Mytilus edulis: one gene and its partners. The protein of the gene in region 1 interacts with the protein of each later gene in a pairwise test. Links are inferred from orthologs where the notes say so. Each region holds a gene or a part of one and is shown on either strand. Other genes may lie near its edges. The genes, in order: coatomer subunit beta'-like, coatomer subunit alpha-like and coatomer subunit beta-like.

Region 1 (7,827 bases):
TCAGTGTTACTTGGAGCATATATAGTGGTACACTTGCTCACATGCTAGCTATAGCCTAGAGAAACTTTGAGATACCTGGGATTCAAAATTCCAAATGTGTACATTTCCATTGTATAAACTGGCTAACATCCATGGCTCTGTAGGGTGCAAGTCCACAGATTTGACACGATCAGACCTAGCTGACAGCTTCCGCTTTATATCCAAACGTAGCGGCTGAAAAGAATAATAAAAGTCAATAGTTATATACCTGAGATTCAAAATTCCAAATGACCACCTTGCCATCATACAAACTAGCCATCATCCATGGTTCAGTTGGGTGCAGACCCATGCTTTTAACACGATCTGATCGGGCTGTCAAAACCCGCTTTATATTCAAACGTAACGGCTGCAATACATAATTCATTAGATATTAGATGTTGATCATGTTTAAGTAAGTATATGTAAGAATGAACAGTGTAGAGCTGTAAATACTAGATTTCATATTATTTTAATACTATATATCCTTTCAACTGTTGTTTGGTAGTTCCTTTTAACCCATCACAGAAGTTCTCCAGATACAAGAGTACTTTTTCCATAACAAGAAGAAGAAGCATGCACAAACTTAATAACATGACATAAGAAAGATACATACATGTACATGTAGAAGACCATTGTTAATTAGAAATATATTATTAAAATTTCTGGTTTTTAATATTATCAACATAGGAAAAGTGGGTGACAGAGATTGGATTTTTATATCCCATATCCATGGTTTCGTACCTCATGGACAACTTATATGTACAATGTATACCATTTCTTATCTCATCATGTTAGGTTTGTATGTTTACCATTTTTCACCTCATGGAAGTTTTGTATGTTTTATTGTTTATCATTTTAGAAGGTTTGGATACTATAGGCCTCGACAATAACGCTTGTCCGATACCAGAGGGAAAAAAGGTCGGACAAGTAAAAGCTGTATCAAGCTTGTCCGTTGGAACAAGTACAATTATTCTGCAGAAAATAAATTTCATCCAACTTTGATGAACAAAGTATAATAATAAACAAAAAACAAAAATTAGTTTGACATGTTTCTGTATTCTGTTTATTGAAATGCAAAACCTTTTTTTTAGCATGTTTACTTGCAATCGATAATTTTTAACTTGTCCTTTGTCAGGTACCTTTTAACAGGTGAAAGGTACTCAGTGTTCTCCCCAGGGCCTTTTAGCATCATGGTAATGTGATGCTATAATCTTAAATGTGATGCTATTTGAATTGGTTTTCTTATAGATTATGTTATGGATGTGATGCTATAAATTTCAGAAACAAGATGGTATTTTAATTTCCCCTATTTACCAGGATGCTAAATGAAATATCTGGGGAGAACACTGGTACATTATACTATTCTCGGAAACCAGCCTTACTGATCCGAATAATCAATGCTGGGTTTTGTAGACTAGGTAACTTTACAGGACAGTTCTCACTTCGACAGGTTTAGCTCAAAGTTTAATAGACAGTTTGGCACCGTAGGAGACAAATTTAGTGGAAATGATTGATAGACACTTTGGCAAGGCAGGAGACATTTCGGGACCAAGACAAATCAGTTCCTCATTTTCTTTCCTTATTCTGTTCTTTATAATAAATACCATACAGGTAATTTTTTCACAAAAATATTTTTTTTTATTTTCCATAATTTTTTGTATTAACCATAATTTCATAAAATTCACAAAATCATATTTGATCATAGGTAAAAAAAAAACAATACTTGCAAAATGGTGACCTTTAGTTGTTAATTTCTGTGTCATTTTGGTCTCTTGAAGAGAGTTGTCTCATTGGCAATCAGACCTTATCTTCTTCTTTTTATTGATTGCATTTGAATAAACTTTTTTCAACTTAAAAAAAAAACCAGGATACAAATCCAATGAGTGTACAGGCCTATCAGATGGTGCCTCATGTTTAGAGTCTGATGAGACAGCTGGCATTGATGAAAACTAGAACCTAAGTCCTGTGACATGACTAGATTCAGTTGTACTTGACTCATATTTTTGAAAAGTATTTCAAAAGAAATACATCAAATTCTGTTCTATTGTTTAAATTCGTTTTGTTCCTTTAATCAACTTAAAATGTAAAAAGGTTATTTTTTATTAAAAAAATTTGGACAAGTAACAATTTCATTGGGACAAGTAAGTTTTGGTATGTACTTGTCCTACTGGCATGACTGGACAAGTTGAAAAAAAAGTTATTGTAGAGGCCTGTACTATTTCATTGATGTATGTACTCCACATGCACTTATTGTACAATTACTCAATCATGATTAAATTAATAACATTCAAGCGTTTTTGAGTTATTGTCCAACAAATTGACGACGGAAGGACAGACAACAGTATACCATAATACGTCCAGTAAACGGGTGTATAAAAACAAACAGATTTGATATTTATTAAATATTACTATCATTTACCAAGACTGTTGGTAAATGATACAAAATAGTTAACATGTATTTAGTTCATGAGGGACAAATTGATAGATGCTTTGGCCCATAGGCATAGGGTACGAAATACACCTTATCGCTATTTGTCTGCCATTACTGGATATCACACAGGTTCCCGTAAAATTTTGATGTCATAAAACAATATATCTGACGCCACAATGGAAAAGTGATTGTTCTATGCGTCAAAAGTTCAAGCGGCCGGGTCAGCCAGGATTAGCGATAAGGTGTATGGCAGTGCCCCAGTGGTACAAAAATGATTAGCTTACAACCAATAATGCATTATGATTATGACCACATTTCATAAATGACTATCAAATTAGTGTCGTTCTGCTTTACACTTAATGTCTAATTGCAATAATTTTCGGTAACCTACAAAATATGTAATGTTAAAAAATGTGTCAACAATGGTCCATATCCCCCCTTTTCACATTAAACGTTGATCTTTACTATATTTCGCCCCTAAACCTGACAGCTACTACATATCGAGAAGCTCATGCGTTATAAAATTCTAAAATAGTTATTCGTTACCATTCTCTTGGGTTATAAGTTTGTAAACAAATAAGTTTCGCCGGTTCAGTTTCAACCTGGATGAAGAGACGTGTCCACAGTGAATGCGCAAGCGTGACCGGACTCGGAAGTTAAACATGATTTGTTTGAAAATGGCCGCCAAACAAGCTTAGACATACCAATATTTTTATACTTATGCATTGTGTACATCGTGAATAGCAAGTTGTCATCAAAGACATAACCATTTTATTGTAAAAGCAAAACTGAATGGTTACGCATATTTAAGGAGTTAAAACAACACTTGGCAAGAATTCGAAGTATACTGTCGTAATTTGTAAATTCTTGGTTCCAACTTAATACAAATTACAAGGAAATTATACATATACTTCAGATATAGTCAAAATGAGAATAAGTGGTCTTGTTCCAGCAAGATTTCTCACAATTGTCGCCCATCTTGTGATAGTCATAGTTTTATTTTGGTCAAAAGTAAGTAAACTTTACACAATAATACTGTTTACAATACACCTTATCGCTATTTGTCCGCCATTGCTGGAAATCACACAGGTTCCCGTAAAATTTTGACGTCATAAAACAAAATGTCTGACGCCACAATGGAAAAGTGATTGTTGTTGACGTCAAAAGTTCAAGCGGACGGGTCAGCCGGGAATAGCGATAAGGTGTATACACCTTGTCTCTATTTTGTAATTCACCTTATCGCTATTTGCCCGCCATTACAATTTACTGGACATCATACAGGTTCACGTAAAATTTTGATGTCATAATACAAAATATCTGACGCCACAATGGAAAAGCGATTGTTGTATGACGTCAATAGTTCAAGTGGGACAGATTCTGGGGTCAGACGGGATTAGCAATAAGGTGTATCAGGTCCGTTCGCGCCCAATACACTTTCGCACCCTACACGTCTGCTCCTCGCACGTTCGCACCCAAGGTCTGTTCGCACTCTACATGTTCACGCCCAATTTTAGATCAAATTCCAGTTGAATAATTAGAAAATCATGATTGTTGTTTTAAACTGCATAGGTATTTAGCTTAGTAAAATGTATGAGTAAAACATTGAAGATTTTAAATGAAAAACACAAAAGATAATTGTTTTTAACAGCTTGGTCCCTTTGATCTGAAACAATGAAACAATAAAATATAGCAATACACTATTATCATGATTAGTGTATCGCTGTAACTTTGTTTCAATCATTGACTTAGGCCATAATAAATAAAAGGTTTGTTTGCCCAAACACTACCTACCAAGAAAAAAAGCTGCCTACTCAAATTCTTTTATTGTCCTGATTTAAATGATAAAATTTATTCAACACACAAAAAGAAAACGTAGTTAGAATTTCACTTTATTTTGAAACAAGGCCAGACTTAAAAATATTTTGGTTTGCCCAAACCCTACCCAAAGGTTGAGACAGTGGGTAGGTAGGTAGGCATTTTTTTTTCTTTCAAAAAAAGAAATTGAAGTATCAGATGTTAATTAGTCTTCATGCCTATTTGATAAAAAAAAAAAACTTCTTCAAATCAGGACAATAAAAGAATTTGAGTAGGCAGCTTTTTTTCTTGGTAGGAAGTGTTTGGGCAAACAAACCTTTTATTTATTATGGCCTAAGTCAATGATTGAAACAAAGTTACAGCGATACACTAACCAAAACATGATTAAGAGTTATTCAGCACAAAATAAAACGTTGACAGATTCCAACATTATTTAGAAAGGATTGTTATTTTTTTTAACAATACACTATCCAAATGAGATTTATTCAACACAAAAAATAATGCTGTCTCACTTTATAATGAGACAATGACAACAAATATTCTGATAGGAATACACTTTCCAAAACTTGATTACAAAGTTGTTAAACACAAAACCAATAAAAATTGGGCGCGAACATGTAATGTGCGAACGGACTTTCAGTGCGAACATATAGTGTGCGAAAGTGAAAGGGGGCGATCATGAGTGGGTGCAAACGTGAATGGGCGCGAATGGACCCGGATTCGTATCTGTCCAACCTGCAGTGATTTTGCTAGTGTTCCATCATTTCGTCATTCACAAAATGGTTTTCAAAATGTTGAAAGGATTTCAAATCAATTTCGTCTCTTAAATCATGACATGTTTGAAGGTCTAATAATATTTTTGTATAAAAAATATAATTGTGTTCAAGTTTCTGGCCCTGAGCCGGTAATTAACATTTACATTTGTACAACAGGTGTTACAAGTTGTGATTTGTAACAGCTTATCCGCTTATCACCATCCGATTGGTCACTAATGGATCATATTTAACCACAAATATAATTATGATAATTAACCTTCTTATAATAATTGTTTTCCCCAGAAAAATCAGTCAGTCAGCATTTGAACAACCACAATGTAGTACGTTTAGTCATTTCATGAAAATTGTTTTCTTCCAGACAGTTCAAATTTGAATTTCAATATTCCTCAAACAGTAACAAACTTTTTGAAGTTTCTATGTCATTGTATGTCATGTATGTACAATGTAGTTTCTTTATTTGAACGTATTTTCGACAAAATAAATTTAATATTGAAAGTCAATGTCATCTATTCTTCATTTTTTTTTACAACCTCCTTACAGTCATTTTAATCACTCTAATGAGTATTTGTACAAATCCTTAGTTCCAATTTACATGATTTATAAGAATTGTTTTCATGCCCCACCTACGATAATAGAGGGGCATAAGCCGCATTATGTTTTCTGGTCTCTGCGTCCTTCCGTCCGTCCGTCTGTCCGTTTGTCTGTTCGTCCGTCCGTCCCATTTCAGGTTAAAGTTTTTGGTCAAGGTAGTTTTTGAAGAAGCTAAAGTCCAATCAACTTGAAACTTAGTACACATGTTCCTTATTATATGATCTTTCTTATTTTAAAACAAAATTAATCTTTTGACCCCATTTTCATGGTCCACTGATCATGAACATAGAAATTAAAAGTGTGAGTTTCAGGTTAAAGTTTTTGGTGAAGGTAGTTTTCAATGAAGTTAAAGTCCAATCAACTTGAAACTTAGTACACATGTTCCCTTTTGGTTGATCTTTTTACTTTTAAGGCCAAATTTGATTTTTTACCCAATTTCACGGTCCATTGAACATGGAAAATGATAATGCGAGTGGGGCATCCGTGTACTTGGGACACATTCTTGTTTTTCAAATTTCGATTTTATTGTTTTATAAGGATAGTGAGACATTCATTTCTGCTGTGATTCCTGGTGTAAAAAAATGAAATCAAACTTTTAATGGAAAAAAAAGAAGTTAAATTGTGACTTAGATTTCCGGATCCCATATCAGTTTATCTTTATGTAGGCCAAACCAGTCAAATCATGCAATAACTGCAAAGCATGTCCAAGTCCTTCAAAGTCTGACAAGGATGTATACATGTAGCTGGTAATATTGATACTGTTACACAAAATAAGGTTACATTAATTTTCATATCATGACCGGAGAATCTGTCTCGCTTGAACTTTTGATGTCATACCACAATCACTTTTCCATTGTGGCTTCAGATATTTTCTATTATGACGTCAAAATTTTATAGGAACTTTTGTGATGTCCAGTTAAGGCTGATAAATAGTTATGAGGTGTATAATGTCAATCAGTCAGGACTAACTTAAATGAGTGATTTTCTAAATCACTGAATCAATTAACATTATGTCCAATCTACAAATGTTGGAAGTAAGAGTTTTCTTTCTTTTAGTCACCCTTAAGATAGTAGTACAAATTATCACTAGACTAAGTGATTTAATTTTATTGTAGCTTTAAATATACAATACTAATGATCAAGGGACTAAATACATATGTATGTTGCTAAAATTATCAGAAACAACATCTGTATTGATAGGATGGCTGGTCGGGCGCAGGACATTTGAGGGAAAAAATTAAAACTACTAGGGGACATTCGAGCGGCTACATTAGAGCCCATTTAAGCACTGGATAAATCCGGTCACCTGTATTTTCGATAGCCCATTTTAGCGAAAAATTTACCTGTTTTAAGCTCACCTGGCCGAAAGGCCAAGTGAGCTTTTCTCATCACTTGGCGTCCGGTGTCCGTCGTTGTCGTCCGTGGTCCTTCGTCGTCCTGCATTAACTTTTACAAAAATCTTCTCCTCTGAAACTACTGAGCTAAATTTAACCAAACTTGGCCACAATCATCATTGGGGTATCTAGTTTAAAAATTGTGTCCGGTGACCCAGCCAACCAACCAAAATGGCCCCCATGGCTAAAAATAGAACATAGGGGTAAAATGCAGTTTTTGGCTTATAACTCAAAAACCAAAGCATTTAGAGCAAATCTGACATGGGGGTATTATTGTTCATCAGGTCAAGATCTATCTGCCCTGAAATTTTCGGATGAATCGGACATTTCGTTGTTGGGTTGCTGCCCCTGAAATGGTAATTTTAAGGAAATTTTGCTGTTTTTGGTTATTAGCTTGAATATTATTATAGATAGAGATAAACTGTAAACAGCAATAATGTTCAGCAAAGTGAGATCTACAAATAAGTCAACATGACCAAAATGGTCAGTTGACCACTTTAGGAGTTATTGCCCTTTATAGTCAATTTTTAACCATTTTTCGTAAATCTTAGTAATCTTTTAGAAAAATCTTCTCCTCTGAAACTACTGGGCTAAATTTAACCAAACTTGGCCATAATCATCATTGGGGTATCTTATTTAAAAAAATGTGTCCGGTGACCCGCCCAACCAACCAAGATGGCCGACATAGCTAAAAATAGAACATAGGGGTAAAATGCAGTTTTTGGCTTATAACTCAAAAACCAAAGCATTTAGAGCAAATCTGACATGGGGTATTATTGTTCATCAGGTCAAGATCTATCTG
Region 2 (8,079 bases), on another chromosome or scaffold:
GATATTTCCTCTAATTCCATATTGGTCTATTTTGTGCAAGCGTCTATCATGAGGTACTGTGTCGAACGCTTTTGAAAAATCCAGAATCGCAATATCTACTTGGTTTCCTTTATCGTAGGATTGTAGCATATCATGGATTGTAATGGCAAGTTGGGTCTCACAGGAATATCCAGATCTAAAGCCGTGGTTTAGTGATGTTAATACATTATGCTTTTCCAGATGTTTGAGTATATGACGGCATATGATGTGCTCAAGGAGTTTACATGGTACTGATGTCAATGAGACTGGCCTGTAGTTTTCGGCCGCGTGTCGGTCTCCTTTCTTAAATATGCTAGAGATGTTTGCATTTCTCCAATCCTCTGGTAGTGTACCACTGTCTAGTGAGAGCTGGAATATGAGTGTTATTATTGGTGCCAGATGTTCGGCGCATTGTTTTAGTACTCTGTTTGGTATGTTGTCAGGACCAGATGCTTTGGATGGGTTTACTCTCTGTAGCAGCTTTTTAACTCCTTCTGATCTGATGGTAATTTGATGTATGGAGTCTTTTACCCTGATGTTTGTTTTGGGTAGTGTTTTAGTTGTTCCTTTTGTGAAGACAGACGCAAATTGCTCCAGTAGAATTTGCGCCTTCTCCTTACTGTCGTTTATGAGCTGTCCATGTTTCTTTAGTGGTGCAACCCCTATATTGTCCTGTTTCCTTGACTTAACATACTTCCAGAAGGGTTTTGTGTTGTTCTTATTCATTCCTTCAATTATAGCGTTGTTAATATAATTGTTTTCTGCTTTCCTAATTTCTCTTTTGCATGTTTTTTGGAAATGGCGGTAGTTTGTCCATGATTTTGTTCTTTTGGCCTGGTTATACAAGTTTTGTTTTTTCTTCAGCATCTTTTTGATCTTTTGTGTTATCCATGGTAGTCTGTTGTTGGACTTGACTATTTTTGATGGTATGTTTTTATCAAGGCTGGCAAATAGGTGTTTCTTGAACATCAGCCATGCTTCGTTGACATTTTGGTTGTTTTGGATGCTGTTGCTTATCTGTGATAATAGTGAATCTAGATCTTTATTCACTTCATCCCAGTTGGCTCTTGCCCAGGTGTAGACTTTCCGAGGATTAGATTTGTAGTAGGAAGGTTTGATGTCCGTATCAGTTATGATGATTGCATGGTCAGAAATACCTGGTATGCTTGTTGATGTTTTCATAAGTGACGGGTTTGATGTGAATACAAGGTCCAGTAGGTTGTTTTCCCTTGTTGGTTCTTCGTGGAATTGTGTAAGGCCAAATTGAGTTGTGATGTTTACGAGCTGTTTTTGAACTTCTGGATCTTGAGCATCTTTCCTAATGGTGAGGTTGTCCCACATTATGTCTGGGCAGTTGAAATCGCCTGCAAGTATGATGTTACTGTTTTTGTTCTCCTCTGTGATTTTTTCCAGAGATTTTTCTAGTTCTTCTAGTTGGGCTTTGTTTCTATGTGGCATGTAGAATGAGCCGATGATTAGGTCTTGGGCTGTTTTTAGTTTGAGCTTTACCCATTCAATTTCACATTTTGTTATGTATTGTGGTTGTTCGGTACTAATCATGCTGTTGTGGACTAGTATGAATACTCCTCCTCCTAAGGTACCCCTGTCATTCCTGAATGATGTGTAGTTATCAGGGAATACTTCAGCAGATTTTATAGCATCTTTAGTCGGATTCTTTCCGGGTTTTACCCCTTTTAGCCAAGATTCTGTGCCAATAATAATATCTGGCTTTGTGTATTGTACACTGAAAATCTAAATTAGTCACGATGACTATTCAGTTAGTCAAATATCAGCCGAAAGGTAGTCAAAAGCATATATGACTACCCACCAAGTCATTATGACTATCTGCATGGTCAATTGACTATGTTAGTGGTCACAGCACCACGTGGTGTAGAGTATCGGTTTTCACGCGCACTCTTTCGCGTTCCCTTTGTTCCATAGATTGTGTAGATGTAAACAAACCAGAAGGCACGGAAACTGTTATTTTGTCAAATAAACCAATTGTTTAAAGTAAGTATGATGTATATATGTTTTAATTCTAACTTACAAAAATTGAATTTAAGAAAAAGAAGTGTATAAATGAAAGTAATATCGGTACATGTTTACGTAACGACAATAAAAAAGGGGGGATATGTATACGGGATATCAATTTTGATACACATACAACGTATTGTCGATTGAAAAGAGTATTTAGCGATATCTTTTTTTTCACCTGAGCAAAAACTGTTAAAAATAAACACTGCAATCGATATTCACAACAATGAATTAAAAACTCAGGGTGGCTGTCAAGATCCTGGTGCTTACATTACAATGCTGTGATATAGGATGGGTAGCTGTGAAGATCCTGGTGCTTACATTACAATGGTGTGTTATAAGATGGGTGGCTGTCAAGATCCTGGTGCTTATATTACAATGTTGTGTTATAAGATGGGTGGCTGTCAAGATCCCGGTGCTTATATCACAACGCTGTGGTATAAGATGGGTGGCTGGCAAGATCCCGGTGCTTACATTACAATGTTGTGGTATAAGATGGGTGGCTGGCAAGATCCCGGTGCTTACATTACAATGTTGTGGTATAAGATGGGTGGCTGTCAAGATTCTGGTGCTTACATTAAAATGTTGTGGTATAAGATGGGTGGCTGTCAAGATCCTGGTGCTTACATTACAATGTTACAATGTTGTGATATATAGGATGGGTGGCTGTCGAGATCACGGTGCTTACATTAAAAATTAATGATATAAGATGTCGAGTGATTAAATCACTAGATCAAAGATTTTAAAATTAGTTTTTTTTTAACTTTTAACATGACTGATATTCTTGTTTATTGTTATATTTTAGCTTCTAAAATGATACAATTATATTTTTCAGCAAATGAAGACATTGTTATTTGTATGAACACAGCTGAGAGATTTTTTACCATAGAGAATACCACACTGACACATGCAGAGTTGATCCCGACAAAATATCTGAAATAAACACTTCAAATTAACAATGAGTTTATAATAAATTTATTTTCTTTATTTGATTTTTAGACTTTAATATATGTCACTGAGTAATAGTTACACACGGAAACTTAAGATATAGGAAGGTTTTGAACATTGAGCACTTTGTGGTCCTATACTATTGTCATTGTTAGTATTGATGCTGTGGTATTTTTAATGATATTATATTCCAGATGTATTTGTCAATCCTATGGAAGAGAAACAACAAAAAGTATAATAACAGAAGAAATGAACCATAACAGAACGAAACGGAATGAAACGCACACAAATTAAATGGTAGAACAAAAAACACAACACAAATTAAAATAACAGTCTAACAGTCGTGACTATTCACAGTAATCATGTTGACTAACCAACATGGTCACTTCCGACTATTTCAATGAGTCATATGGACTGCATTCAATTGTCAAACTGACAAATGTGCATAGTCAATTGAACAATCCAATTCGTCATAACGAGTATGACATATAGTCATTTTGACTTCCTAACATAGTCATAATGACCACCCTACTCCGTCAAATGTGACTAACCATCTAGTCAAACGACTAAGAGCATAGTCAAAATGATTAAAGTGCATTGTCATCTAGAGGACAGTCAAAATGACTAATTAAATTGGTCAAATTGACTAATTTAGATTTTCAGTGTAATGTTGTTTTGAATTCTGAGGTTTTATCTTTGATGCTTCTACAGTTTACCGTCATGATTCTGAGGTTTCTTTTATTGGTGATGTTAAAGGGTGGTGGTGTTGTGTCCTTTATGCTGTTTCTTGTACTGTTTGCAACTGACCGATTTTTGGTAATTGATTTGTCTTTTGGACTACTTGTTACAAGTGGACTAAATGATGAAGAAAAGGTGTCCATAAAGCTGAGATCTGTTGTTAGAGGTTCGTAATAGCTTATGTTTTCAATCTCGTATGCATGGTAAGTGAATGAGGATACATTTAGGCTGTCACATTTGCAGCACATCCATTGCACGTTTGATCTTTGTAGAAGTTCGTAATCTGTCGTGCACAGTTCGATGCATGAGCGGTGGTGCCATATGCTGCAACAATCGCAACATACTCCCTCTGTTGACCATGTAACGGGTCTTTCACACAAACCACATGGGAAGACGTTTGCTGTTTTTGGACCTGGATTTGATTCAATGTCACCTGATAGTAGTATGATGAGCAGTGCTGTTGTTAAGTTTTGCCTTGCATGTATTGGTAATGATATTGGCCTTCTTCCGCTATGATGTAATTTCGGGTTTAGCAAGTTGACTAGATTTTGTTTTGTTGACCCTGTATGTGCATTTATGATATGCAGGGCTAATGAGCTGGCTAGGAAAAGTAACAGTGTATACTTCATGTTGTAACTAATATAGCAAGGGAGATCCTTACTGATTGTTGTTGTTATGAGGTTTTATCAGTATGTACAATGTAGCAAGGGAAATCCTTACTGATTGTTTCTGTTGTGTTGGTCCAATGTAGCAAGGGAGATCCTTACTGATCGGTTAAGTTGCATGTAAAATGTAGCAAGGGAAATCCTTACTGATTTTGTCTTGAAGTGGCGGTCCAATGTAGCAAGGGATATCCTTACTGCCGAGTTTGGATTGTTTAAAGTTTATGTTTAATAGATATAGCAAGAGTAATCCTTACTGCTTAACATGATTTGGATGAATGAGTTGATTAGAACACTAAATATATACACTTATCAAGGAAAAAACTGCCAAAAATATACAAAACTGGTGAATAAAACCCAGCGATATGGATTCCACCTGGAACATTAAAAAAATCACATATTCTTAAAAATAGAGAGCATTTCATATTATTTTTTTTTTTTGCTTAATTACTTTATTATGGTATTTTTTATTTTGCTGTACATATATTTATTCTGCGGTGATATTTATTATTGTTGTTCGCTGGTCGCTAATAATGCGATAATAAAGTTATAAAAGATTTCCCACCAAGAGCCTCTTCAGAGCCTGAGGTGAAATGATTGCTCCCTTACCGTCAATTTACTCGGTCAGGGAACCAGTCAAAACAGTAACTTCCGGTTTTACGTGGAACTGCCATAGTGGAAATTCTGCCGGTTGTACACAAATTATAGTTATTTACGAGTAACAGAATCATCTTATGGCATTATGTTGACGAAATTTGAAACCAAATCTGCAAGAGTGAAAGGTGAATGAAAGCATTTTTTTTGTCCAAAAGGCTTTATTTTCCAGTTACAAGGTGTAGACGCTTTAAAATGTGACAAAACTTCATAAAATCATAGACACAGGCATATTTTTCTATCTTACAAATTATATATCATCGACATCCGATGATTACACATTGTCTGCATACGTGGACTATTTAGAAAATTTGACCCATTTATTAAACGAAATATGATCTTCAATCTTTTTTCTTGATGACACCTGGGGTAATCTCTCTTATAAATTATTCGCTTTTGTAAATTAAAATCACTAATGTATTTTATTTATGTGCTTTGAAAATATCAATATACACAATGAATATGTTGTCTTATCAAATATCAATACTGTTGCAGGTCATAATTTAAAGATGGTATATTTTGATATATTATAAATATTGATTCACTAATAGGGGTTTGTCTTTTCACCACCGAACATCACTGCACACCGCCTACCACCACCGAACACTCCAAAAGACCACTAAACTTTAAGGAAAACAGTAATGTTTCACAAAACAAATCAATTAAATTATGTAATATTATTCCCATTTCTCATGTTTTTTCATATTTTTATGTGCATTTTTAGTGATTTTATTATTAAAGTTGAGAATCAAATTTAAAAAAAGGCTGCCATGTTTGATGGTGTTCAGTGCTAAAAAAGACCTACCGCACTCATAGGGTCTTTGCCTCAGAAATAAACACATATTCTAAAACCAGTTGTTGGCATGATACAGGTTGTGTTCTTCTCGTAGATTTTATGATGGTTTGATACAAAACCTACATCTACATCATTGAAATGCAAAGGGTTTAAGACCCATCACGCAAGTACTAATTAAGTCATTCAATATGGTGCTCATTAAAAAAATATTTACATGTGTGAAATTTCGCCTTTTCAGAATCTAAATGACTATGGGTAATCTCATCTGTTTGTTAGTTTATGTATCATTGTCATTGTGCTAAATGTTTTTTTTGTTACCTATTCCTACAATGTACGTATTGATGTTTAAGGCTGTTGATATCACACTTAGTTGAAACTGTATGTTTGCTATTTCAGGTCTTACTTTTCATCCTAAGAGACCATGGGTGCTGACAAGTTTATTCAATGGTGTTATCCAGTTATGGGACTACAGAATGTGTACATTGATCGACAAGTTTGATGAACATGATGGTAATACATTATACCTTTTATAGTACCAGTGTTCTCCCCAGGCCGTTTTAGCACAGCACTTTTCAGCGCTATTGCAATTCCCCGCTGTCCTATTGCACTGACCGCAGCGCTATCCAACGCAACGGCGTCGCTATATTTTTTTCAAATTTCCCGCTTATTTTTCACTTCGGATCACGTGATCGACTGGTTTACGATTTTTGAATGAATTATTTCCGTTGTATTAAAGTAACTTCACAGGACCAGTCTAATAAATTTTACAAAAATGGCGTTTTTGGAAGATCAAAATAAACAAAGATTTCAGAATACAGATTTCAACATTGACATCGATTTTTTTAATTTAAAGAAAATATAGAGGCATATATGAATGAAATGTGATGAAATGAATTGACCGCATTTCCTGACGTCACTCACAAACTTGTTTTACGAACTTTGAACAAACGATCATTTTAAAAACGATCAAACACAGGGGTTTGTTACAAATTATTTGCAGGGTTTACTATCCATACGAACCCCGAAAATGACCAAGTCTTTTAAATATTAATTATCCCCTATTCGAACTTATAATTTAGTCAGAAATTCTTCCATTTGATAACAATTTGAGAGGATATGATTAGCAAAACAAACCCCAAGCTGATACGACTTGAGAAATTTTACTTTCTCGATGTCCAGCTTGGATGAGGCCATTTAAATATTATAAAACGTTTAGGTCATAAAAATGAGAAATCTTTATGCTAAAAAATGTCAATTCCTGTCAAACGTCGTAAGGTAAACAGTACACTGCTACAGTTTGTTACAAAACCAAACAGAAGCTGACAATGACTTTATTGTTGGTCCTACATGTTCTGCAACATTACCTGATGGTGCTAAGAAATCTTGGCACAGGCAGTCTGGTGTAGATCCATCATAGAAAAAGACTCTTCCTTCAGTTTTATACATAGATAGTATGAGGATTTAATATATGAATTTACAATGGAGAAAAAAAGACTCTTCAGACTTCTATATCCAGACAATAACATTAACAAACAAAGCATCATTAAGGGATACACTGTAACTTCCATGAGCATGACAAGGACATCATAACAAGAGGAAATATCAACAGCATGATATAATAAAAACACATAACAAATCAATTACAAACAAACCGAGCGCCGCGATAAAGTTACTGAGAATTGTCGAAAATTACGCGCTTACCACAGCGCTATCAAAAAATCCTGGGGAGAACACTGAGTACAATGTAGTATTACATAATTATATTTTTTCCACTAGTCTTACAACTGTACTTTCATTTTATAAAAGGTTAACCAACACCTGAAGTGGTAATCGTGCAGTTTTGTAATAGTGGGGGGATACCGAGAGGTATTCACAGTTGTCTTTCACTAGATAAGTAAAATAAAACGAAAATTAAGACAACAACACCCATCAATTACTGCATGGTAAGAGTTTATTCAGGTCAACAGATTTCACAATCAACTGTACTTTAATTTGGATGCATATCTTTAGTACTATAGAAGATTTAAAGAATAAACAGAAAAGATAAAAGTATTTATCAATTAAAAACTTAATTTCAATAAAAAAAAACTATTATTTTTAGTCATTTTCATCATATTCATTACTTCTCTTAAATAATTTAACAAATGGGAGTAACTTAAATCAATGAACTGAATCATTGACATAGCAGTTGTATAAATTGATTGTAACATGTCACATGTACTTACAGGT
Region 3 (7,793 bases), on another chromosome or scaffold:
AAGGGCATAACTCTAGAATGGTTAAAGTGACACCACCAAACTTCAAACTTGATCTGTGTTTTGTGGTAATAAGCATTGTGTATAAGTGTTTTATATCATTTGGTTGAGACAAACCAAAGTTAAAGAATGGAAACGAACTTTGGGACATGCAGACAGGCGGACATACATACAGAGACAAGGGTAAAACATTATGCCTGTAGCTGAGGGGAAATAATAATCTATTGGTAAGACAAAACCATTAAACTTTAAAAAATTCCTTTCAACTTGTAATTGGAAATAAAATCAGTCTGACCAGAGTTATTTTAATTAACTTTCCACACAATTTTTAACGCTTTAAATTTTGAATGTACAAACCTATAGATAGTATAAATAGCTAAAACAGCATTTCTCCTGACATAAGAGTGCCTGTGTTCTAAACACTGTCTGATTGCTGGCATCAGTGGTTCCAATAATTCGGCTTCCTTCAGTTTACATAAAAATCTCAATGTTGATCCTCTTATAAATTCATTTGGATGTTGAAGATCCTGAAAAAGAAGCAATTGGAATTATATTTGATATATCGTTACATAGGTATAAACCTATACTTTTAGTTTCATTTTGAAGAATGAATAATTCCAAAAACATGCGTGTTTAATTGTACCATCCTTACTCAAAAAAATAGATACATTATTCAGTGAAATTCTCAATAAGATACAAACAATAATATATGTACAGTGATTTATAATTTACATGTAGATCTTACTTGCATCTTTGTAGAAAGAAATAGTGTTGTTGCTAAATATCTAATTTATTTTCAATTTAACATTTCCCATCAATGCAGATGCAAATGATCTCTCCAAGGCTTTATTGCTCCTTGGTACCATGACACTATATTAGGAAGAACACTTTAAGTTAAAGCCCTAGAAAAAAACATACCTTTCTGTATGCATCACAAACAAGAATAAACTCGTGTAACATTTTGCCATCAGGGTTATATTTTGGAACAATTTCCCAGAAAATTAACAGCATTTTCTTGATGGTATGGTCTCTCACAGGCATGACAAATCTAATAATAGTCATCAATAATGATGGCATCTTCTCTCCATTCAGTATCATCTGTATCGTCTTCTTCAGAGCTTCAATCTTTGTTTTTGTATCTCCCTTTTCTAATAAAAAAAAAAATATCATTCAATATATATTGTACAATGTACTACAACTTTTGAAAAGTGAAATTTTACAATTTAATTTCAATCAGTTTCTTTTCATGCCTTTAAATACAACTGTATATACTGTGATCAATAAATTAAAACTAAAACATGAAACATGAATGATTTGGAGAGCATATAATAACCAGCAAATGATAAGCTACATGTAGCCATCAAAAATTAATTAAACCATGATATCAAAAGTTTGCTGAATGTGAATCACTCCAATACATGTACATCTTTTGTTTAAAAGTTTTTACGTCCTCATGTAGTTTGTTGTGTGTCATTTAAGATAGACTGCAAGATACATGTACATGTATTCAGCCTTAATGAACAATGCTGGCAAACCATTTCTTGTTGTTTATATTGTTTGTATACATGTACATATGAAGCATGTACATGTATGTAGAATTAACAATTGTGTAGATTCAGAAAAAAAGTTCCATGCTTGTATATTTGGTTGCAAAAAACATTACATAAAAAAAATTGACTTTCTAGATTGAGAACAGGTAAAACATCCACATTGCATTTCACTGGTGTTTTATATCAATATATATATTGCCATACCTAGATCTGATTTGAGTCCCATCTCTGTTGGAGGCTCTGCATCTGATGGTATATTTATCAGAGTATAACATGGCTGCTCAGCCAAGGTAGACATCTTTTTATTCTGAAAATAAAGTCAAATGGGCATTTTACATTTGTAGGTGTACATGTATCTATAAAATTTAAAATCTTTAGATAACAGCTCTAGAATAAGTTCATACAAGAGATTTTTTCCCCATTTACATGTGTGTATTATATGATCAGTGTTTTAACAAGTATCTCAGGATTTTTTTTATGGTATTGGAAGTTAATTTGGAACCAGTAAAGATGAAGACAGAAGACCAAATCTTTTATATAATAATTGAACAATATTTCTATAGATTAACAAAATCCTATGTTTTAAATCTGTTTTTTTGTTGTTGTTGCCATTTTGGAATGGTAAAAAAAAAAAGTGCAATTAGTTGCTTGTAAGCAGTCACCACATCACAAAGCTTGAAGGTTCAACAAAAAATACTAAACAAGTACTGCAACCAATGATCTAGAAATACTATTTTAGGGAAGATAATGACTGAACGCTTGTGTACTTTTACAAAATATAACTGGCTTTAAAATATGTCCATAACTACTTGTACAATAAAGTAATCAATAGCAATATACATGATATATGGGAAAGTTAAAAAAAAAATACATTGCACAATAACTTAAAGAGGCATAATTTACCTGGTACTCTAGGCCAATATATACATGTATTATTATATGTTTATGTTTAACTGAAAAATCTAATTTCCTACAACCATTAAAGTACCTGTTGACACACATGGTGATTCAATTATCATTCTTGTGACTTTCTCATGTATATATCTTGTATATATATAATTCATGATATGATAGTGACTTAGTCAGTATTTGGTGAAATATGATTTTGAGCAACACTTCTGTTTTAATGAGCTGAAGTCATTGTAAAGGTAGATCATTAAAAAATCAGGACAAAAAATAATTATGAATCATCTAATTTACAAGTACATTACCCCTTCCCCCCCTTTTTCTCTAATAAAAAAAATCTAGCAAGGAGTGCTTAATGAATCACCTTGTGTGTAAGGTATAATTTTGCATGAACAGATGCCTTGTACTATCCTCATTTGTAAAACTTTACATTGTCATACATTTTACACTTCTTCAAAACTTTAACTTTCTGATAAGATATTGTTTCTATTTGATATTGAAAAGTAACAAACTGTTCATGCAAAACAAACACAATAACTTGTTCTTACCGTCATCCTGATATGTTTGTATCTTATAATAAGTTTTTTCAAATATAAAATTGTGTAAATACAATATAAACAGTGATAAAGTGATTAATATGCATTTAACATGACTCATGAGTACATTGACACAATCTATTAGTTTTACAATGTGTAAGACTAAGAGTGCAAAACATTTATATTTAATATAAATGCAACTGGATGTCCTGCATGGTTTTTCTTCTGCCCCATAACAAAATTTCAACTTTTTAATTGTAGCAGCATAATAGTCCATTTGCCAATTACCAATTTGATTCTATTATTACACACTTTTTAAACAAACTACTTCCATGACTTCCCTTTGTCAATCGTAGACTGGTTCCATACCAGACAAAATTGGCTTTTGCCAATGCAAAGCATGATGAATTGGAAGGGATGTATCGGCGGTTAAACTAAATTTTCATGAAAAATAATTGCTGATGTCAAAAGTATTTAGCTAAACAACAAATTAATGTAATTAAAAGATTTAAAAACCTTACAGATTACTCACATTACGCACAGGTAAATTTGCTCTTACTGTGAGCTCTCCATTGTAAATAAAAATTAATGTCCCTCATAAAGGGAGACCAAAAAAATAAAGGTCTCTTATAACAGGGTCAATTACGGGAATTGGCGAACAGCCTATTGTCAATTGAAATAAATATCATTAATTCAATACATGCAACAGATTATTTTATTGATTTATTGTTACATGTATTGACTTGTATTACCTCCCTTAGTAGACCTTACTCAATGTGTCATGTACATCATTTGTACATGTATGATTATTGATAGGTTCTTTCCTCATTGTTCCTTGTATGATATCTACGCCTCTCATTTATTATTAAATATGACTTCCTAGCGATCACATGTGTAAGTTTTCTCTGGCTTCTAGCATGGGATCAATTCAATGTAAAGGAAAATCTATTGATAAATAGTCAATAACACAACTGATACCTGCTCCCAGCTTTAACTACTAAAACAAGAACTAAACTAAGTATTGAGGGCCTGATGACGGTAGAAAAATCAATTAAAAAGAAAAATTAATCAAAGGTTTTCATTCTTCCATGTCAGCTAAGTAATGAACTCAAAATCATTAACTTTTTATTTTTCAGACTTATTTTTTCCCATTTGCACAGACATCTCTTTCTTTCTTCTGGTCTTGTATGTCATGAGACTTGTTCTGTAAAATTGTTGTTTTTGATCATTCTTTGTCTTAGATACGAAAAAACGTAACATCATCAGGATAGCGTTTCTTTGTTTTCATTAAAAATGATGTCACAATTTTTAAAATCCCTAACAACAGGACCAACATCGGAAACGTTTCAGTATTTTAGTTTCTTTTTTTAACAGATTTTAAATTATAAGTATTTGACTATTAAAAAATAATGTACACAGAATTCTTCCCCTTTCACTGGTAAATTTATTATGTTGGACTATAATACTATTAGTGTTTCTGATTGAAAGGACATAACGAACAAATTATAAGCAGGATATTGTACCAAATTCAAAACTGTAATTGTAGGTTTATGTTAGAATTAATCAGCAATTAATGGATATCAACATAAACCAATAAAGCTGAAGTTTTTGAATCCTATCAAGATAACTTGTCTTCTTGTCTCCGTATGAGCCTCCTTTAAATAGGAGCACCACCATAGTTATGGCGTATAAAGGAGGACATTTGGAGCCTGTATCGGTACAGATTAATGTGAGCATTGTGACAACTTCCACTAAACAGATAACAAATGTTGGAAAGAAAACATATTGAGAATGTGATCAAAATGTTCCTTCACTTTTGTGTCCAGTATACGTGGAAGTTCTAAATTACAAATTCAACGTAAAGATATATTATTTGATACTTGTTAATAGTAGGTGTTTAACAAACCTTTGAATCTTCCAGCAAATGAAATTCTGGTCGCCGACAGGAAGTGCTTAACGTGGCCGGAAGTTACGTTCGGCCTCCGTTAGATACTTGGGATCTCATGTCATACGTCAGAGATAAAATTCAGTAGATTACCGAAAAGAATGTAACTGACAAAAACGGGCGATATTTACTAAACTCTTCAATAAGGAGGTATATAATTGTTAATAGACAGACGAAGTTCAGACAGCATGTCAAAATTAGGAGACAGAGACATATTTATATCATAGATACAAGCTAATACAGGTAATTAACACTTACCCCAAACCTACACAAAAAAGATGATAATAATACACCTTACTTTTGATATTCATAACAGAAAAAACAAACCTTTACAAATTAAATTTAGATCTATCATGATCATCTGAGACTACTGTACCGTACTAGTTTACACTAAAACGGGAAAATTATTATCATATGAAAAGGGCAGAGTGTTTAGTCATGTGTAATTGAAAAACTTGAGTGAAGAATGTAAAAGAAAGTATATTTTTGAAAATCATTATAAGATAAGATAAGATAACTTTTTTAGTACAAGTTTACAATGACTTAGGCATTGACAATAAATGGTTATGACAACAAATTAAAGACAAACTACAATGCTTTCAAGTCGATCAGTCCCCACATCGATATGGCCCAACGTCAGGCCCAATAAAAAATATATTTATAAGGAATAAAAATAAAGATATTAATTGTAACTCGTAAAGTTAATGAATTTATTATAATGTAAAAGGTGTATGTTAAAAAAAAATGTTTCACTACAAGTTTTTTAGATTATTGGGTATAATTATATTAAAAAAAAATATAACAAAATTTAGGACAATCAACAGACATCAACATTAATCAGCAGTTTTAAATTATCAATTTCTTTCAATTGATGTGATCTTAATTTAACAAGTCTTTCATCCTGTGTAATAACAAATAGTTACATACACAACGGTACAAGCCGATCCCCAAGCTGATACATACAAATTTTTTTTTGTGTGAAGTTCTTAGACAAGTGTTATAGAAGCCTCTGATGTTACCTGAAAAAAAAATACAATCACAACCATTTTCGTATCGACTTAAAATATTTCATCTTTCTGGTACTCCAAATATATTCAAACTTACCTGTTGTCATCCATTATTGATACTTTTTACAAATTCGATTTATACTAATTAAAAGTCTTTATAGTTTATTCCTTATAAATTATTATTGGGCCGGATCGACTTGAGCCGGGTCGACGTGGGCCGGATTGACTTGGGGGTGGATTGACTTGGGGCCGAATTTACCTGAGGCTGAATGGGTTTGGGGACGGAACGACTGGATACCACTACAATAACATATATACAACGAAGAAGTGACAGTGGATAATTATGGGAAAATTATATAAAAGAGAAGCATATAAATCATTACAGAAATCAAGTACCTTTTAATAATGAGTTTGTCACCAACTAGCATTCATTTTAACAAGTTATATGATAAAGAAGGTAATATGTTGTTCAATAGACTTTTTTTTTAATGAGGTTAATTTATTATCTCTCACGTTGTTAGTTATAGAATGAACATTTTAAAAGGAAGTGTAGTTCATCTCCAATGTCTCCACTGTTGCAGGAAAGACATATACTCTACTCTGCTTTGGTATTTTTAGATATCGCCCGCTTTCAATAGATAAAGTATGAGCACTAAACCTTAATTTACATAATGTTGATCTATCAGATTTGGATTTATATTGATCAACATACGAGGGTCTTTTATTTGGTTTATATAGTATATTAAAAAAAGTATAATTTTGTATTTTGATTGGGGAAGGCTATATCATTGGTTCTCTCAATTATATATATGCTAAGGACTTCATAGCTCAAAACAATTTTACATTTGGTATTGCCTTTTTTTATTATGGCTCAACTATACAGGTAGGATTTGCTAATGAGATTTTGCATGTTTGGGGTGCACAATATGTAGGTGTGCTTATTACATCTTTGTCAAATTTTAAGTTTCTTCTTATTAAAAATCGTAAATCTTATAAATCATAAATTTTGTGAAACTTATTTTGTGGTAGAATTACAATGGAAATTTACATACACATGTATGATACAGTCTATTCCTAAATGACGCATTTGTAAAATTGGCTTGTAAAAAAAAATTTGGTGGAAAAAATGGATTTATTATCTGGCAGGCCTCTTTTTAAAATTGAAACAAGCTTAAGTAAGCAAATTGAAGATTCTTGGTTTTTGATATAAATTGTTAGCTAACTATTCTTTTCCCAACTTTTATACTGACTACCTAACTATAGCAAGCTGTGCCTTTAAAAATCATGTGCTAGTACAACAATATTTAAGATTTTAAGATAAATGTACAACTCTTATATACGTTACTATGTTGGCTCTTATTGATTAGGTATAATGGATGACAATACAGCCTGGGTTCCAAGATGCCTCCAAGATCCTGAGGTAGATGACCAGAAGACTTGGATGAAAGGATGGGTTGAGAGTGAGGAAGACCTCCAGACAGTACTAGAGGCTCATAGAAGAGCATCTCTAAGTACCTTTGTGACATGGTAATATTGAATGAAATAAAGTATATTAATATAGAGAAAAAAATTAAACCCGGAATATGTCAAAAAGAATTATTGCAAACGGATTAAAGAGTACGAAACAGTTCAAGGACAACAATGGTCCTAATCAATGCAGCAACAAATTCCTCTACCAAAACAATCATGTATACTAGCTAAGTTCAGCAGACTGGATCCCACATTAAACACCAAAACTACAAATGAACCAAAATTTGAAAAAAAAGCTAATAACTAACATACATGTAGGCTAGAGGATCCTGTCAGATTTCAACTCTCACCTTATACCCTAGATTATATTGAATGAAAAAAC

Evidence for each region.
Region 2: the proteins of coatomer subunit beta'-like (region 1) and coatomer subunit alpha-like interact in a two-hybrid assay, tested with the Homo sapiens proteins (2 studies listed by BioGRID, with this or other methods). The link is inferred for Mytilus edulis from reciprocal best matches to the Homo sapiens genes COPB2 and COPA.
Region 3: the proteins of coatomer subunit beta'-like (region 1) and coatomer subunit beta-like interact in a two-hybrid assay, tested with the Homo sapiens proteins (2 studies listed by BioGRID, with this or other methods). The link is inferred for Mytilus edulis from reciprocal best matches to the Homo sapiens genes COPB2 and COPB1.

The regions. Positions count from the first base shown.
Region 1 is NC_092356.1:64,947,734-64,955,560, reverse strand, and holds the start of coatomer subunit beta'-like, read right to left. Parts: upstream 3,085-7,827; 5' UTR 2,999-3,084; coding exon of another isoform or gene 2,996-2,998; intron 386-2,995; coding exon of another isoform or gene 286-385; coding exon 76-285; intron 1-75. Other genes in the region: transmembrane protein 107-like, read left to right, coding at 3,377-3,460. UniProt on the Homo sapiens protein: The coatomer is a cytosolic protein complex that binds to dilysine motifs and reversibly associates with Golgi non-clathrin-coated vesicles, which further mediate biosynthetic protein transport from the ER, via the Golgi up to the trans Golgi network.
Region 2 is NC_092345.1:20,017,069-20,025,147, reverse strand, and holds the start of coatomer subunit alpha-like, read left to right. Parts: upstream 1-5,018; 5' UTR 5,019-5,142; coding exon 5,143-5,182; intron 5,183-6,246; coding exon 6,247-6,360; intron 6,361-8,077; coding exon 8,078-8,079. UniProt on the Homo sapiens protein: The coatomer is a cytosolic protein complex that binds to dilysine motifs and reversibly associates with Golgi non-clathrin-coated vesicles, which further mediate biosynthetic protein transport from the ER, via the Golgi up to the trans Golgi network.
Region 3 is NC_092353.1:31,908,830-31,916,622, reverse strand, and holds the start of coatomer subunit beta-like, read right to left. Parts: upstream 3,102-7,793; 5' UTR 3,008-3,101; coding exon 3,002-3,007; intron 1,904-3,001; exon of another isoform or gene 1,855-1,903; coding exon 1,752-1,854; intron 1,146-1,751; coding exon 916-1,145; intron 525-915; coding exon 355-524; intron 1-354. Other genes in the region: uncharacterized protein, read left to right, coding at 7,314-7,468. UniProt on the Homo sapiens protein: The coatomer is a cytosolic protein complex that binds to dilysine motifs and reversibly associates with Golgi non-clathrin-coated vesicles, which further mediate biosynthetic protein transport from the ER, via the Golgi up to the trans Golgi network.